Linked DNA regions of Schizosaccharomyces pombe. The protein of the gene in region 3 interacts with the protein of the main gene of each other region in a biochemical or structural test. Each region holds a gene or a part of one and is shown on either strand. Other genes may lie near its edges. The genes, in order: cul3, cul1 and csn5.

Region 1 (6,540 bases), 440 kb from region 3:
GAAGTAAAAACTCCATGGTGAGAACACATACTAAAAATCGAATTGCATAAAGAAGGTTCCTGTATTTTAGCGTTGAAACTGTGGGATATTTCATCTAAATATTAGCAGAAAATTTAATTAAACAATTTACCTGGGACATAAAATTGTTGAACGAAATGATAGGGCCCGCTAAATATAAAGGGGCATAAAAAATGTATGTCAAAAAATTCTTAAGATTATAATCTTCATCAAGACAAGAATAATCAACCCTTTCACGAAACGTCAATGTTGTTGGCTCACGATCTTTGTCAAATATTAGAGTCTAATGGTTATTATTTATAAACTCAAAAGGCATGTGCTCAAACTTACGTTAAGTTTTTCAGAGTTGTGCTTTAAGGACCAGTAATAATCCATATTAAATGACACGAGCCGAAGCATGGTAATGTTAAAAAGAACATACCAGCGCTCAAGAATCCCAGTATATTGATCCTGTAAAAAGATTAACATCTGATGGCTAAAGATAGCGTACCAAAAACCCTAGGCCTGGATGAAGGCTAGAAAATTTGCAATAGGCAAAATATTCTTTAAAAAACACCACTGATATATCTAATGTCCATGTCAAGAGTGGATTAAAAATACTGTTCTTTAGAGACTTAGAAATGAGATAATTGATCAATGCAATTGTTAAAACATATATAACGCCAGTCCCGTAGACAAGTAATGCAAACAGCAGGGAGAAGCAAAGTCGATAGTTGTTTTTTATAGCGAGTTCATCATTAGTATTTTTTGTGAAGACAAGCTTAACGAGTCTCCAGAGAAAATTATAGACAATAATTACAAGTAGTAAGATTGGCATATTTTCACGAAACGCGGAATACTGAAAATCAGCGGAATCGACTTTTTGTCCAAACAACCACCCAGGCTTTAAATATTTTTCAATGTTTTTGTAATTGGGATGTTTTGCTGACGCCTAGTTAGTTGCTTACTTTATTTCAAATTGATAAATAGAAAAGGCTGATTAAAGCTTTTGACACTTACGAGAACTAACATAATGAATTTTAAAACAAGCAATTGTTAGAATCGATAGAATGACAGAAAAGTAAAAAATAAATTCTATGGAACCAAAAGCGCTCTTTTCCGGAACTGCGCTTCGAACGGTCAAACGTGAAGATGAAGATGGATGACTTGAACCAGAAGTCGAACTTAACCGTGAACTTTTAGAATTGGGTCTTTCAGTATCTTTGGTCGAAGTCTCAAGAACATCAAATCGAAATAAACGTAACATCCTAGAAGTCTCCTACCAACAGCAAAGAAGATGGTCGGTTCTCAAAATATCATAGAGTAAACAAACCTAGTGGTGTTCACTAGCAAAATGCAAGACACTGCGTAATTTACACTTTGTGTCAGCTTCATAGTCCGTAAATAATTTTAAGAGTAAGGTAGAGAGAGTATGATGAAATCAATTATATTTTTAAAAATAATAAATTCAGTTTGTATTGTTTATTGGAATGAATAAAATAGTCAGCACTATACAAAACGCGCTATTAAAATAGAAATATTAATTAAGCATCTTTAAAGACTAAATTTTGATTTTGGTAAATTAGCAACTTATATATTGAAAAATGTTTTACATTCGTTTGCAATAATTCTGTATAGCCCATTTAGATCTCTAAAATCGTTAATTTTTATAATTAATTAATTAATTTATTTTTTTTTGGATATGATTTGCTCAATGATTGCTAAATTATCACATCTAGTCTAAAAATTCAAAAGATAATTTCAAGTTAACAAGCTCATATAATAATTAAATGTTCTATTAGAACGTCGTATATATTGACCAAAGTATTACAAAAATAAATAAAAATAATATATACTATAGAAATTAAAATAAACAATGACTATATCTTGCAATTTATATGCTCCTAAACCCAATTTGATCGCTCTCCTAGTTCATTTGGAAGAATTGGAAGAAGATGATTTTGCTGGTCGAATTTTAAATTGAGGGGGCTTAAATTCTACAACATTGCCATTGATTACTTGACCATAGCCTTTTTTAAAAGTTTCCCCTTTCTTAGCTAAAATGTCTTCAATCGTCACCCGTTCTTCAGAGAATATTTTTAAATGATCAGCCATCAAGTGCCGATTTTTGCACTTAGGACATTGAACTAAAACGGTCCCATTATGGTAGGCCTGCTTGGAGAAATTGTGATTTGACCTAGTGTTACATCTTTCATTTGGTTAGTATCCTTCAATGAAATTATAAATACTTACACGGTACAAGTAAAAGAAACATTATAAGTCGGTTTAGGTTGTAATTGATCAGCATCTGATTTTACAGAGGGAACACCACTTGCAAGATCTTTAGCATCGCTTTGAGTGAAGCGTTTGCATTGCCAATTAGAAATGTTTCTCACATTCGGGGAACAGAAAAGTAAACTTGAAACCTTTACCTTGTTTGAAAAATTTTTTAACTGCAAATTTCGTAAACAGAATTTTTGAGTATACCGTGCAAAGCTCCACATTATGTTTGAAAAATTTTTGTGTTCGGAGAATGTTGTTCGTAGTTAGTACCTTCTACCACCTTTTGTACCATTACTTCCGTCTGTGCTGGCGTTTCTTTATGCAAACTCATATGCCCATATATTTAGCTTTTTTGTTGAAACTTAACTTTAAATTCCATTATTAATGCAGCGGTCAGCGAAGTTAAAAATTCGAGCGCCACGAAAAGTAAGTGTACCTGATGCATGCTGTCCTTATTATTTTCCTCACATACTGACATTTAGTTTTCTGCTAACCAAGTAGACTTTGCTACACATTGGGAAGTCTTGCAGCGAGCTATTGGGGATATATTTCAGAAAAGCACATCTCAATTATCGTTTGAAGAGTTGTATAGAAATGCATATATACTTGTTCTACATAAGTATGGAGAAAAGCTTTATAATCATGTACAGGATGTTATTAGATCGAGGCTTAAAGAAGAAACTGTTCCAGCTATTTACAAAAACTATGACGCTTCCTTATTAGGGAATGCTCTATTGGATATTAGAAAAAATGATTCCTATTCTACTTCATGGTCGAGATCATTGGAAGCGGCTCATAGATTTTTATCGTCTTTAGTTAATTCCTGGAAGGATCACATTGTTTCAATGCAAATGATATCTAGTGTATTAAAATATTTGGACAAGGTTTATTCAAAATCTGCAGACAAAGTTCCTGTTAATGAAAACGGAATATATATCTTTCGTGAAGTTGTTTTGTTAAATAGTTTTGAAATTGGAGAGAAATGTGTCGAAACTATTCTAATTCTGGTTTATCTTGAACGTAAAGGGAATACAATAAATCGACCCTTAATAAATGACTGCTTAGATATGCTAAACTCTTTGCCTTCAGAAAACAAAAAGGAAACTCTTTATGATGTTTTATTTGCTCCAAAGTTTTTATCTTACACAAGAAATTTCTATGAAATAGAATCATCAACAGTCATCGGCGTATTTGGAGTTGTGGAGTATCTGAAAAAAGCAGAGAAAAGATTTGAGGAAGAAAAGGAGAGGTCCAAGAATTACCTGTTCACAAAAATAGCTAGCCCCCTTCTATCCGTTGTTGAAGATGAGCTTTTGAGTAAACATTTGGACGATTTGCTTGAAAATCAATCAACTGGCTTTTTCTCGATGATCGACTCTTCAAACTTCGAGGGTCTTCAATTGGTTTACGAAAGCTTTTCTAGAGTGGAACTTGGCGTGAAGTCTTTAAAAAAATACTTGGCGAAATATGTAGCGCATCATGGAAAATTAATCAATGAAACTACTAGCCAAGCGCTTGAAGGAAAGATGGCTGTTGGTCGTCTATCATCTAATGCTACAATGGCAACATTATGGGTTCAAAAAGTTTTGGCCTTATGGGATAGACTAAATACAATTATAAGTACTACTATGGATGCTGATCGGTCTATCTTGAACTCTTTATCAGATGCTTTTGTTACGTTCGTAGACGGATATACCCGAGCCCCCGAGTACATTTCACTATTCATTGATGACAATCTGAAAAAAGATGCTAGAAAAGCAATAGAAGGCTCTATTGAAGCAACACTTCAAAATTCTGTTACGTTATTTCGGTTTATTTCAGAAAAAGATGTTTTTGAAAAATATTACAAAACACACCTTGCAAAAAGGTATGCTTTAATTGTTTTTACTGTCTTTAACACTTTTAGGTTGTTGAATAATCGATCAATATCTTCCGATGCAGAGCTCGGAATGATCAGTAGGCTGAAACAAGAAGCTGGTAATGTTTTTACTCAAAAGCTCGAAGGAATGTTTAATGGTAAGTATTCAGACTTTAGCAAGTTTTTTTGCGTTCCCTTATTAATGCTTAGATATGAATCTTTCACAAGAATTGTTACAGGAGTACAAACATAATTCTGCGTTACAGTCGGCCAAGGTTAGTGGAAATTTTTATTGATAATCCTTTATACTAACAGTTAGCCTGCTTTGGACTTAAACGTTTCAATTTTGGCTTCTACATTTTGGCCCATCGATTTATCGCCTCACAAAATTAAATGTAACTTTCCGAAAGTTCTCCTGGCTCAGATAGATCAATTTACGGATTTTTATTTATCGAAACATACGGGGAGAAAATTATTGTGGTATCCTTCTATGGTATAGTAAACTTTTATTTGCTTGTTGCGTCACACTAACAATCCTATTTAGGGAAGTGCTGATGTCCGTGTTAATTTCAAAGACAGAAAATATGACTTGAATGTATCGACTATTGCATCTGTTATTCTATTGCTTTTCCAAGACCTAAAAGAAAATCAGTGTTTAATTTTTGAGGAGATTTTGGAAAAAACCAATATAGAAGTTGGGGATTTGAAGCGCAATCTTCAGTCCCTTGCTTGTGCAAAATACAAGATTTTGCTAAAGGATCCAAAAGGAAGGGAGGTGAATGCAGGTGACAAGTTTTATTTCAATGAGAACTTTGTTTCAAATCTCGCCCGGATTAAAATATCGACAGTTGCTCAGACTCGTGTTGAGGATGATAGTGAGAGAAAACGTACATTAGAGAAGGTAGACGAGTCAAGGAAGCATCAAGCAGATGCCTGTATTGTTAGAGTGATGAAGTATGTCTTTTTCCTTTTTTTTTTTTTTCAAACATTTTTACTAACAGTAAATTAAGGGATCGCAAAGTGTGCGAACACAATCAGCTGATGGCAGAGGTTACAAGACAGTTAAACCCTCGTTTCCACCCTAGTCCGATGATGATTAAGCGACGAATTGAAGCTTTAATAGAGCGGGAGTACCTACAAAGACAAGCCGATAATGGTCGCATTTATGAATATTTAGCATAGCAGCCTTAACTGTTACACGAAATGCAATATTCGTATACGAGAAATCATGTTTAAATGGAAAGATACCAATTTGTTCAAGATGATATCTAGCAAAAGCTTTGTGATTATAATGACACTCATGAATTTTACACCAACTTCCTTTTTATTTTTGAAAAAAAGAAAATTTTAAGTAATGCTATAAGAAGGTTTGAAAACAGGTAGATTATATTCCAAATCAATCAAAATTTGATACATTAATTCTGCGAGCAGATAGTAGAGTAATGAGTTTAAATTACATTGTTCCATATACATTGTACAAAAAGACCAAAACAGAAAAACCCTCAGTTTAAAATAGATTAAGGTATTTGATCAACGATAGATGGGAAGTGTTAACCTAAAAAATTATTATGGGAGGAAGCGAATTCGCCGTAAATACACTATCCTACACAGTATGCTTTTGATGATGACTCTACTAATAACATCGAAAATACCAGAGCAAGTAAAGCTCCTTATAATCTTTAAGGTGTTAATCAAATAATAAAGCTATGTATTTGATTTAGTATTGAAACACCTGGTTGTTTACATTAAGAATATTCTTCTTTCCTAACGGACTACGCTATCCTCTTTAGCAATCTCGGAAGAACCCCTAAAAATATCTACCGTTCAATGCTATTCTGTATATTCTCCGCTTAATTCTATTTGTTTAGGAAATTGTATAAATAACCTCAAATATCTTAACGAACCCCACTTGTTCGCCAATTTCATTTAATTGGTTCCGCGTACCACACTTCCTTTTAACCACCAAACACTTTTAAGTATCCGCAAGGTTGCCAAAGGTTGATTACAATCTCTTACTTTAAGCTAAGATACAAAGCTCTTTTTGATATCCTACTCGTCTTGCAGAGAACCTACATATTCTCTTTTTGTGACTAAACGTGTCTTGAACTCTTTAAAATAAGTGGCCTTTGCTTTTGAAATTTTAAAGATCTTTTTCTTTTCCTACGTAACTCCAAGTGTCAAGGAATTGCCATCTTTTCACTTCTTCCTTTCTTTTGTGTATCACTACTGAAGTTATCAAAATGTCCTTGCACGACGCTTACCATTGGCCTTCTCGTACACCTAGTCGTAAGGGTTCAAATATCAAATTGAACAAAACTTTACAAGATCATTTGGATGAACTGGAAGAACAATTCACCATTCCCACTGAACTTTTACATCGCGTTACCGATCGCTTTGTTTCT
Region 2 (6,583 bases), 2.7 Mb from region 3:
CACGTTACCATCCGAAGGGGTTTTGCGATTTAAATCGCCACGTACATTATACATGATAAATCCAACGAAACCAGTTAAATCCCAAGAAAGAAGAACAAAAATGAATGAAAAGAAAGCTTAGTTAAAGAAGATTTCGCGCTTAGACACGTAACCACAAAAAGTCTTCGCTGAGTTGTGACAGCAAATAGTCTTCAAAATACTTCCAGCAAGTAAAAAAAAAAAAAAAACGTTAAACAAAAAACAAAAAGAATCTAAAGGAAAAAGATGATGAGCCTCAATCTCGAGAACGAAAGCTAATTCACTTGAAAATTTTCCTTTTTCTTGTAAAGTGCTCGAAAGCACTTTTCGCGTAAACGCACAAAGTATTTAAAAAATAAATACAAAAGAATGAATACTTGTAGCGATTTTGGAACGCTGGTGTACCTCACCAAGGTGGAAATACGGAAAGGTAGTATATAGGACTAGGCAAACTCCAAATGGTTGTTTGCGGACAATAGCGAGGCAAAGTCGGCGGAAGTTTAAAAAGACTTGAATGAAAGAACAACTAGGTATTCTTTTTACAGATTAATAAAAGGAACAGGATTTTAAAATGGATAGTTAACCTTCCAAGTGTTGAAAAAAAAATTAAAAACAAAAGCCAAATTAATGACTTAAAAGTCCAAGTAACTTTTTTGAAATAAAGTTTGGTCAGTTCATAAAACAAGTATTTTCTTTTTTTTTTTTTTTTTTTGAGAAAAAAGAGGATTTGTTTACAGAAAAAAACAGGAAAGCAGAAAGACAGCGGTTTGAATAGCACAAGCTGAACTAGCTTATTTATAACGAAATTTTAAGTAAATACTGGAGACAAAGGTTAGTTATCCTCCCCCAATAAGATAACTGAGAAAAAGTCGATTAAGATAAAATTATGGAGAGAGAAATCAAAAGAAAGAAGAAAGGCCTAAAATAATAAGAAGATTGTATAATGACTATGGATTACTACTTTAAAATATATCTCTTAATATCACAGTATATAAACACTCTTGACTATTAGTGTGGAAATTGATGATGGATTGCAAAGAAAAGATGAGCGGATAGTTTCTAGAAAAAATTTTGGAATTCAAAAGACGAAGCAGTGATGTAAATAGCTTTTTTGCAGAGTTTCTTATGTTGAAATTGAATAATTACATAGAAACTTGAAGGTTCAAGGTTCATAAAAACGGAGAAAATGGGATATAATAGCAAATAAAAGAGAGAAACAGATATTATGTTTGTTTTTTAGAAAGAATCTCAACAAATTACAGATATTTTGATTGTATTGGAATACTAAACAAAAAAATATGTAAGTAAATAGTCAAGTGAGCAAAGTAGAACAATGCTGGCCACGCGTTAAAGGGGGAAAGGTGGTTAGCGAAGAATGGAATGTTTTCAACTCATTATTGCCATTCTACGAATATAAAAACACCTAAATTGTAAAAAAAAATAAAAAAAATAAAGCAAGCAAGTTTAAGTGATAAAGGAGGAAGCTAATTAGTTATGAAATTGAGAATAATTTTTGGTCTTATTCAGAATTAATAATAATTCGTCTGTTCCTAAGTGAATATAGAAAGCAGACTCCAAACGTGCGTATCCAAGCGCATTCTATTACTTTTATTTTAGTAGGTAAATGATAAAAAGTTCAATTTGAGGCCGCTTTTGATGCATCAACATTTTGCGACAATTTTACTTAGGAATTGGCTACCGTTAACGGCACTCAGAATTGTTTGAGGATGAGGCTCTGATGGTAAACAATAGATGGCGGTGCTCAAAAGATGGTATGAAGAGGTAATTTGTAGCGCGTTTGAGAAAGAGAAGGAAAAGTATTTCTGTTTTACAACATCTATGAAAGAGCATCCTGTTATGTTGGCCACATTGAAAATGTCAACCTATTTGAGGTCCAAATTAAACCCTTTTCAACATTTGTAAATATTTCATGGGTTTGAGATTTTCATTTAGTACAATATTACTATACACTTGTCAGAGATATCTTTTACACCATATGTGTATTTGCATCGAGCACTCAATATCCAGCGGATCGCATACATCATTCTTTTGGCAGAACAATAACTCAAATTTAAAGGATTTCTTTGGCATATTCATGTATATGTTGATAAATATTGGCTTTATGTCTTTGTTTTCATAATAATAAATGCGTTAATGAAGAATTTTTTAATATAATAATTATTTACTTAAAAAAAAATTAGATATTAAATATAATCTTATAAAGCACTTTTATAATGAGCTTTTGCTACGTACACCTGGCTACCTCTTGTACCTTCGTTCACTTCGTCGTTACCTGTAGGTTCTTGAAAGGATCAGTGCTACTATTTACTACGTTTACTCTATCTGCCATCTAAGAAAGAGCAATTGTGTGCTGAATAAAATATATTTTACTTGTTATACATTTATAACCATTTTGGTTAATGACTACTTTGAATACCAACGATAAAGACCTCCCGATTGTTAAAAAATATGATTCATTGAATGGAACGTATGTTACATTGTAACTGATTGACGATTGCTGATCTATATGCAGTTGGGACTTTTTAAAAACAGGTGTGTCCCAAATATTTGAAAGGCTAGATGAAGGAATGACTATCACTAAGTATATGGAGCTTTATACGTAAGTTAGTCCAATATTTTGAGATCTGAATACTAGTATATTAGTTATCAGATATTTCATGGCACCTATATTTATATACTTACATACTTTATTTTTAGAGCAATCCATAACTACTGTGCTGATGCGTCCAAAACTATAACGGTGGACAATTTCAACGATCAAAGTACGTAAAAAATAGATAAAAATTTATATTTTGACTCAGAATTTGTCAAAAAGAAGAACTACATATATTTTCTTATGATTATTTTCACTGGATTCTAACTGTATGTGCTAGCTGCAAACGTTTTAGGCGAAGCCCTTTACAATAATTTGGTTCTATATCTGGAAGAGTATTTGGCCCGTCTGCGAAAGGTGAGTTTAAATATCGGTTTTTTATTTATAATTCTACGACAAAGATTTCATTGCACCTCGAGTGTTCAGCAGTTTTCTTTAATTTCTAAACATTTTCTCTGGACATTTTAAAGAGTGCTAGCATAAGCATCTGGTCTTTTATTATGATTAAGGAATAAATTGCATTATGTGGTAATTTTTCTCGTGCTAATTGGCGCTTTAGGAATGCATTTCGCAAACGAATCATGAAGAGCAACTCGCTGCGTATGCCAAGTATTGGACGCGATTTACAACATCTGCCCGTTTTATCAACCATCTTTTTGGATATTTAAATAGATATTGGGTTAAACTGAAGAACAGATTTACTGAGACACTCGTGTACGACATTTACACACTTTGTCTTGTGTCATGGCATCATCACGTTTTTTCCCACATTCGCGATAGCCTACTTCAAAATTTGTTATACATGTTCACCAAAAAAAGATTATATGAACCTACTGATATGAAATATGTGGAAGTTTGTGTGGATTCTATCACTTCATTGAGCTTTGATAAAACCGATATGACAAAGCCTAACTTGAGCTCATACAAAACTTTTTTCGAAACAAACTTTATTGAAAATACAAAAAACTTTTATGCAAAGGAGTCTTCCGAATACTTGGCTTCCCATTCTATTACGGATTACTTAAAAAAGGCAGAAATAAGACTAGCAGAGGAGGAAGAGCTTGTGAGATTATATTTGCATGAATCCACATTGAAGCCGCTTTTAGAAGCGACTGAAGATGTACTAATTGCACAACATGAAGAAGTTTTGCACAACGACTTTGCACGCATGCTCGACCAAAACTGCAGTGAGGATATCATTCGCATGTACCGATTGATGTCTCGAACACCTAATGGGTTGCAGCCTTTACGCCAGACATTTGAGGAGTTTGTCAAGAGATCAGGCTTTGCTGCGGTTGCCAAAATTGTTCCCCAGGTCGGTGGAGAAGCCGATGTGGATCCTAAAGAGTATATGGAAATGTTACTTTCCACGTATAAAGCTTCCAAAGAACTTGTTAACACCGCATTTCATGGGGATACTGATTTTACAAAGTCATTGGATACAGCCTTTAGAGAACTTGTCAATCGAAATGTTGTTTGCCAGCGCTCTTCCTCTCGCTCCCCAGAGTTGCTTGCTAAATACGCCGACAGTATTTTGCGAAAAAGCAACAAGAATGTTGACATTGATGATGTTGAAGACTGTTTATCGTCGATTATCATTATTTTTCGTTATGTCGAAGACAAGGATGTTTTTCAAAACTTTTATACTAAGCTTTTAGCCAAGCGACTTGTGAATGGTACCTCTAATTCCCAGGATGCTGAATCTAGCATGCTATCTAAGTTAAAGGAAGTCTGCGGTTTTGAATATACTAGTAAGCTACAGCGTATGTTTCAAGACATCTCCTTGTCTCAAGAGATTACCGAAGCGTTTTGGCAACTCCCTCAGTCACGTGCTGGAAATATAGATTTCTCTGCTCTTGTACTTGGTACATCGTTTTGGCCTCTATCTCCCAACAATGTGAACTTTCATCTGCCAGAGGAATTAGTTCCTTTGTATGAAGGATTCCAAAACTATTACTATAGCTGCCATAACGGAAGGAAGTTAAGCTGGTTGTTCCATCTCTCTAAAGGAGAAATAAAGGCACGCATTAACCCTCAAACTAATGTCACTTATGTGTTTCAAGTTTCTACATATCAAATGGGTGTTTTGCTTTTGTACAACCATCGCGATTCTTATACATATGAGGAGCTGGCAAAAATAACTGGGTTAAGTACAGATTTCTTGACAGGGATTCTGAACATATTCCTAAAAGCAAAGGTGCTTCTCCTTGGCGACAATGACAAGCTTGGTGATCCTAATAGCACATATAAGATCAATGAAAATTTTAGGATGAAAAAGATACGGGTACAGTTAAATCTCCCAATTAGATCTGAGCAAAAGCAGGAATCTCTGGAGACTCATAAAACTATAGAAGAAGATCGAAAGTTACTGCTTCAATCCGCTATCGTCCGTATCATGAAGGCTCGCCGAACATTGAAACATGTAGTGTTAGTGAAAGAGACTATTGATCAAATTAAAAGCAGATTTACTCCTAAAGTGTCTGATATTAAGCAATGTATAGATATGTTAATCGAAAAAGAGTACCTGGAACGCCAAGGCCGCGATGAATACATTTACCTTGCTTGAGAGAAACATCTCCGCGAAATGCTCCAAAAAAAATGATATACTTTTCGAGTGTTATATATGTAATTAATCACGCAATACGAATTTTCTTTTTTCTTTTGTTTACATTCTTGTCTGCTAGTGATCTTTAATCCATTGAAACTAAGCTTTTAATAACGTAGGAAAGTCACCACTCCATTGAAGAAATGTGTAGCTTAGCTACATGCAAGCTATGCAACTTTTTTTTACTACTAGTTACTGGATAGCAACAACAAACTTCTATTATCCCATCATTTTACGTGGATAAGTCGTACAATGAAAAAGAAAAGAAAACAGTTATCGACCACATACATGCACCATTTCACGAAGTACAGATGCTTGAAATTGTGAAAGGATGTCAAAGATATGTTTTATATAATACATTTATTGTCAATTGTCGTCTTCGTCTTCCTCTGCAAATCGCTTGATTCTGTTAAAAAAGACATATATTGATTATTCAGCACGAAGAACGAAATGGTGCTTACAAATTAAAAAAAATTAATTGATCAGACTAATTAAGGCAATTTTAACGTTTTTATTGATTTACTACTTCCAGGTGTTGCTGGAGTGTTCATGGATGAAATGGATGATTCCGGTACATTCCGGTGCCAACACCATAGTATGACATAAATGAGTAAACATCGCGGTTCGCTCATTCTTCTTCAACACACCATCTTCCTTGACATATCGTTCTGAAAAAAAATACTAGGAAGAGAATCGTAGCATAATGGCGACTTTATTTCATCTTATAGATGTACATGGTAATGAATATCAAAATGTGCAAGACCACAGCCTTCAAATGGCCTTAGAAGAGCTGAATCAACAAATCGAAGTGATTCAACGCCAAGAAGAACAATTGGCTTTGCGAAAGAAGGCAATTGAGGATGCAAGGCAAGAAGTGCTCCAGCAAATTCAACATCGAAAATTCCGTCAATACTTGCATGAACGGGAACAAGAGGCTCGTTTGCAAGAGTATTATTTGGAGCAACTGCAAGAGCGTAGAGCTTTTGAAAATGTTGTACGGACTATAATCAGAAAGCGATTTGAGGATGAGGAGCGTGAAAGAGCTCATCGCAGGGAAAAGGCGGCTCGAAAGTTGCTACGCAGAATACTTGTCTCCGATTCACCCAATATGCAGCTTGTAGTGCCAAATAATTTCCAGCAAATGTTTATTCATCATCCAGTCGTAGACACAATATATTCTCCTGAAGAGTCTTCGGAATCCCAAGCTGAAGTCGCTGACCAACAAACTGGCCCATACTCTACATCAGAGTACGCAGGTGCTCAACAATCTCAACCATTTCGCATATTTATTCAAAACGACAATGCACCTGAACAACAAAGTGGCCCAGACGTTGCTGAGCTTAATA
Region 3 (4,775 bases):
TAAAAAATGAATGTGTATAAATAATGTCAAACATTCATATATAATATATAACACGAGTATTAGTATGCCACACCGCTAAAGGAGATTATGCTTGATAGCCTACATCATTAAAGCCATTTTGCAAGTCGATCTATTAACTCATCAAAAATCTTGTATTACGTGTTTTGTTATTTAAATATTGCGCACAACCTTAGCTTCGGTCAATTTATTATATTAGCTAATAACGCCTTAGTAGGTTGGCTTGGCACGTAAATAAAGTCAATTGAACACATTTTATACATAAATTTTGAGATTTCCAACTGTCTCTTCAATATCCTTGTTGATTTGGCAGTTTTAGAAAAAAAAATTCAGCTTAACGTTTTTATACCATATATTCATTAAGGTCAAGTTTCGTCCACTTTATCGCACCACGAAATTTCCATTTGTACCACCTTCAAATTGCATCAAATAGCCTGATTACTTAGTATTTAAACGCAGTTATTCCACTTTTGATTGTCTATCTGTTCATATTATTCCTCCTTGTCTTTTCGTTTGGATTTTTAACTCACTTCTAGTCTTTTTTTGATAACTGTTGAACAAATTATATCTCTTCTAGCCATCGGACGCTGATTTTCATTCCTTTCTTTTTTTTTACTGTTATTTCGTTCATTTTAGCATTTTTGGCACTATCTCATTTGTTTGCATTTGCGTTTCCTTGTTGAATAGTTTTTTAGTTTAGGGGAACCATGTCTGTCAGTACTAAACGTCTTGAAATGGATGAAGAAGCAGAAGAGGCTTTTGATCTTTTTGACGTGACACACAAAGGGTACATTGACTTTGAAGACCTTCGAAGATCTTGCGCTCAACTAGGGGAAAATTTGACTAAAGAACAGCTTCAGTTGATGCTCGATTTAGCTGGCACTAATGGTAAAGTATCGCGTGAAGAATTTGCCGAATTGTGGATTCATATATCTTGAGATTGTTTATCAATGGAGACAAACTTCATTTTATTTATGGGATTCATTCTCGCACTTTAATGACTTAATGATGATGGACTTAGTGTACTAAAAAAGATTAAACAATATTTCCTCGTGTTTTCTTTTTGTTTTCAAGCCATAGATGCCTGTTTTATATACTTGGTTGTAGGTTACAATTGATGCTAAAGATAAGTGTCACAGCCTGCTTGAACAACAATACTAGAATCTACATTCTTTCGTAAACCTTGATTTATTGATTTTTAGCATCTTCGTGTGTCTCTTTCATGATATATGTTACAAGGGATTGGCGATTGTGTAAATTCAGTGAATAGGATTTCAATGAACTAATACTATATTGTCTGTTTTCATTCATAGTAAAACAAGTTCTCAAAGATACCAGTTACCAAGCAAAATATATTGTCTTTTCGAAATTCAATAAACATACATTTTACAGGCTAGAATTCATGTTTTAAAATGCTTTTAATCAACTAATATGCTTAAGTAAATAAACGAAATTTTTATCTAAAAATATGTCTTTATAGCGAGTTTTACTTGTACTCGAAAAGTTCTCCAACATTTTTTCGTCACATACCACAAATGATTCATTTTCTGTATTTAATGACTACAATTACAAAATTGCAATGAATAATCAACTCGAAAATGTTTTTAGATTTGATGAAGAAAAAGAGAGGGCTAAAATTCGTGAATCGCCGTGGAAACATGAGTAAGTTAAGATTTCATTGGTTTTTAGCTATATTATACCAGTCTCTGAATTTTTTTCCCTACGTTAATTTATTAAAATTATAAATCCTGTAATGCTAACAATAACAGCCCAGAGTTTTTCCGTTCTGTCAAAATCTCAGCAGTAGCTTTGTTGAAAATGTTACGGCATGTATCTCAAGGCATGCCATTAGAGGTAATGGGCTATGTTCAGGGGAAGGTTGAAGGGGCCTCCTTGATTATTTTAGATTCTTTTGCGTTACCAGTTGAAGGTACTGAGACTCGTGTCAATGCACATGAAGAAGCACAAGAATACAGTGTACAATATCATACTCTTTGCAAGTCTGTTTACAGACATGAAAATGTCATAGGATGGTACCATTCACATCCTAACTATGGTTGCTGGCTTTCAGGTGTAGATGTTGAAACTCAGCGCCAAAATCAAAAATATCAGGATCCATTTGTTGCCGTTGTGTTGGACCCGAAGCGATCCTTGGAATCTCCATATGTAAACATTGGAGCATTTCGAACCTATCCTGTCGGTAATGATGGCTCTATCCGCACAAAATCTCGTCATCACCCGTCTGTCTTATTTAAAAATTTACCTTCTTCCAAAATCGAAGATGCCGGAGCCCACGCAGAAGCGTACTACAGTCTCCCTATAACTTACTTTCATTCCAAAGCTGAAAAAAAGGTTACGGAGTTTTTAAGGAATAGAAACTGGTCTAGGTCAATCACCGAGTGTTCTATTTTACAAGTAAGATTCATATTCTAATAAAGTTTCTTAACGAGTCTGCAAGTTTTTCTAACAAGCAATATAGAACAATGAATTTTTACATGACAGCGAAAAATTAATCGATCATCTTATTCATGAAACAGGGAATAATGAATTACCTGTTGCATCTGCCTACGAACAATCCAAAGCTTGTTGTAACGAATTATCTACTTTTCTGTCTCAAATTGATGTCCAAGATAAATTATTTAAAGAATGAATAAATCAACGATTCACTAATATCAGGAAACATGAGATATATAAACGTCGAATCTACTAAGTAATACAGTACAGTTTATTAATGAAAGTCATATTAATATATTTCAGTTAGTTTTTTTTTTATTACCCGTAATCTTTTTTTTTTTATTGAGTAAACATATTCGACTTTTGTAACGCCAAATTCGTAAATCTATTATATCGATGACACACCACTTTAAAAAGTATCAGCAATACTGAACTTCACATATCAGTATGTATGTTTTATCTTAATGCTCATCTTGAAATTAATAAGGTCGTAGACGTTGTAATGTCACTTTCAAAGAAGTTTTTAAAGCCTTCAGTTGCTTCCAACCAACTTCGTTTGCTTTTTACAGCAGCTGGTAAGAAATGTTTAGCTCAGCTAATGCATAAATGAGATTTTACTAAAGAAATTAGAGAGGAAGGTTAATTATCCAGGACATGTTCCTTTATCACCGCTGCAACGTATTTTTTTGGTTGCAGGATCAGCAATCATGGGATTGAAGGCACCATGGAGAGGCGGTATGAAATTTAGGTAGTAAAAACACTTCGGCAAATTCTTTTGACCTTTGCTACAGAAGTTGGTGAAAAGCTATATTTACTTTTTCTGGATTTACTAATGCTAGGAGATATGATATCTGTCCTAGGAGATGCATCTGGTCAACCATTCTTCCTTCATCGATTACTGAATAAAATGCTCGTTGATAAAACAGGTCGTGAAATTTTGAAAGATAAACCTAGAATGACATCGAAGTCTTTAAACTTACCATTTTTGCGGACCCTTCCGCCAAATACCCTAGGTAAAATTTATGTTGACTGGATAGACAAAGAGCATGTTGGACCCGATACTCGAAGCCCTACCCGTTTTGTAGATGACCCAGAGGAGGCATATGTTATGCAAAGATATCGTGAATCTCACGATTTTTACCATGCTATATGTAACATGCCTACAAACATTGAAGGAGAATTAGCTATTAAATGGTATAGATATACTTTACTTTATTTCTAACTTCATGGTTTGTATACTAACAATTTAGGCTGGAATTTGTTAACATGGGTTTACCAGTTGGAGCTCTCTCTGCTTTATTTGGTCCTCTACGCTTAAATTGTGAACAGGCTTCAAGGTTTCGTCGGGTATACATTCCATGGTCGATTCGTAATGGTTTGAATGCAAAAACATTGATCAATGTCTATTGGGAAAAGGAACTGACGAACGACATTGAGGACGTCCGTAGACGAATACGAATTGAGGCTGCTCCTCCGCTGGTTTAGACCTGTAATTCAAATTTCTTCCATTTACTCAATCGAAATATTCGAAAAGAACTGCATATAAATAGTTAATTAATAATGTTTATATATGTAGCAGTTTAACTCTTGCAAAACATATCCATGCTGTTACTCCCAAATCTAATACTAAATAAGAATACTATTAATCCACTAAAACCCAAACTCTAACCTAGATATAATTATTTTAAGCCTAAATTCCACGAAAAACTGTTAATGAAATTAAACAGTCAAGTATTTTAACGACGACCCTTTTTAGCTAGTCTTTTTTGTGCGCGCAAATCCTTTTTCATTCGACTGTCAACCATTTTATACTTTCCTTTAACACCCTTAGGACGAGATTTAAGGCCTTTATTAGGACCCTTTGCAACAACTAACGTAGGCTTTGCTTTAGGCTTCGATTTAGTAGCACGGCTTACGAGTCGCGATATTTCTTTAGCTTTTTCACTTTCAGTCATATCACCGCTTTCTGAAATTCCTTCAGCTTTTTTAGCGACACGTTGCAGACGCTTAATAGTACGCATCTTTTTACGACCTTGTGCCTCAAGAACTTTTTTGATAGGACGAGCATTAAGAGCCTTCATTTTTTCCCGCAAAGCCAAAACGGCTTCTTTGGTGATTGGCTTGTTGGGTTTATTGACGGTTGTTTCTTCATCCAAAAACCAATCTGGAAGACCTTCTTTAGATTGAAACGACCATCGATTATAACCTTCATCAATCAAATCAGCCTTAGACTTTCTCCTAGAAGCAATATCCTGAGCTAGTGTCATTGCCTCGGCAGTAACAATTTCAACGTTGTTTTCATC

The links.
Region 1: of the proteins of csn5 (region 3) and cul3, one has a biochemical effect on the other in vitro, tested with the Schizosaccharomyces pombe proteins (one study listed by BioGRID).
Region 2: of the proteins of csn5 (region 3) and cul1, one has a biochemical effect on the other in vitro, tested with the Schizosaccharomyces pombe proteins (one study listed by BioGRID).

What each region holds. Positions count from the first base shown.
Region 1 is NC_003424.3:484,740-491,279, reverse strand, and holds cul3 (cullin 3), read left to right. Parts: upstream 1-2,565; 5' UTR 2,566-2,664; coding exon 2,665-2,706; intron 2,707-2,762; coding exon 2,763-4,147; intron 4,148-4,186; coding exon 4,187-4,296; exon of another isoform or gene 4,297-4,348; coding exon 4,349-4,413; exon of another isoform or gene 4,414-4,457; coding exon 4,458-4,631; exon of another isoform or gene 4,632-4,682; coding exon 4,683-5,092; exon of another isoform or gene 5,093-5,148; coding exon 5,149-5,320; 3' UTR 5,321-5,557; downstream 5,558-6,540. Other genes in the region: gup1 (MBOAT family O-acyltransferase), read right to left, coding at 1-94, 131-301, 349-468, 509-942, 1,018-1,264; TIM23 translocase complex subunit Tim15, read right to left, coding at 1,930-2,206, 2,251-2,501; hxk1 (hexokinase 1), read left to right, coding at 6,379-6,540. UniProt on the Schizosaccharomyces pombe protein: Probable core component of multiple cullin-RING-based BC3B (BTB-CUL3-BTB) E3 ubiquitin-protein ligase complexes which mediate the ubiquitination and subsequent proteasomal degradation of target proteins.
Region 2 is NC_003424.3:3,609,686-3,616,268, forward strand, and holds cul1 (cullin 1), read left to right. Parts: upstream 1-2,371; 5' UTR 2,372-2,438; coding exon 2,439-2,506; intron 2,507-2,551; coding exon 2,552-2,638; intron 2,639-2,736; coding exon 2,737-2,801; intron 2,802-2,912; coding exon 2,913-2,989; exon of another isoform or gene 2,990-3,191; coding exon 3,192-5,198; downstream 5,199-6,583. Other genes in the region: ghs2 (glucosidase), read right to left, coding at 1-54; protein slt1, read left to right, coding at 5,941-6,583. UniProt on the Schizosaccharomyces pombe protein: Core component of multiple cullin-RING-based SCF (SKP1-CUL1-F-box protein) E3 ubiquitin-protein ligase complexes, which mediate the ubiquitination of target proteins.
Region 3 is NC_003424.3:924,394-929,168, reverse strand, and holds csn5 (COP9/signalosome complex protease subunit Csn5), read left to right. Parts: upstream 1-1,542; 5' UTR 1,543-1,597; coding exon 1,598-1,680; intron 1,681-1,722; exon of another isoform or gene 1,723-1,787; coding exon 1,788-2,433; intron 2,434-2,497; coding exon 2,498-2,668; 3' UTR 2,669-2,775; downstream 2,776-4,775. Other genes in the region: SPOM_SPAC1687.23C (uncharacterized protein), read left to right, coding at 1-10; SPOM_SPAC1687.14C (calcium-binding protein), read left to right, coding at 726-956; ubiquinone biosynthesis protein Coq4, read left to right, coding at 2,924-3,047, 3,103-3,207, 3,312-3,666, 3,723-3,957; rRNA methyltransferase Spb1, read right to left, coding at 4,209-4,775.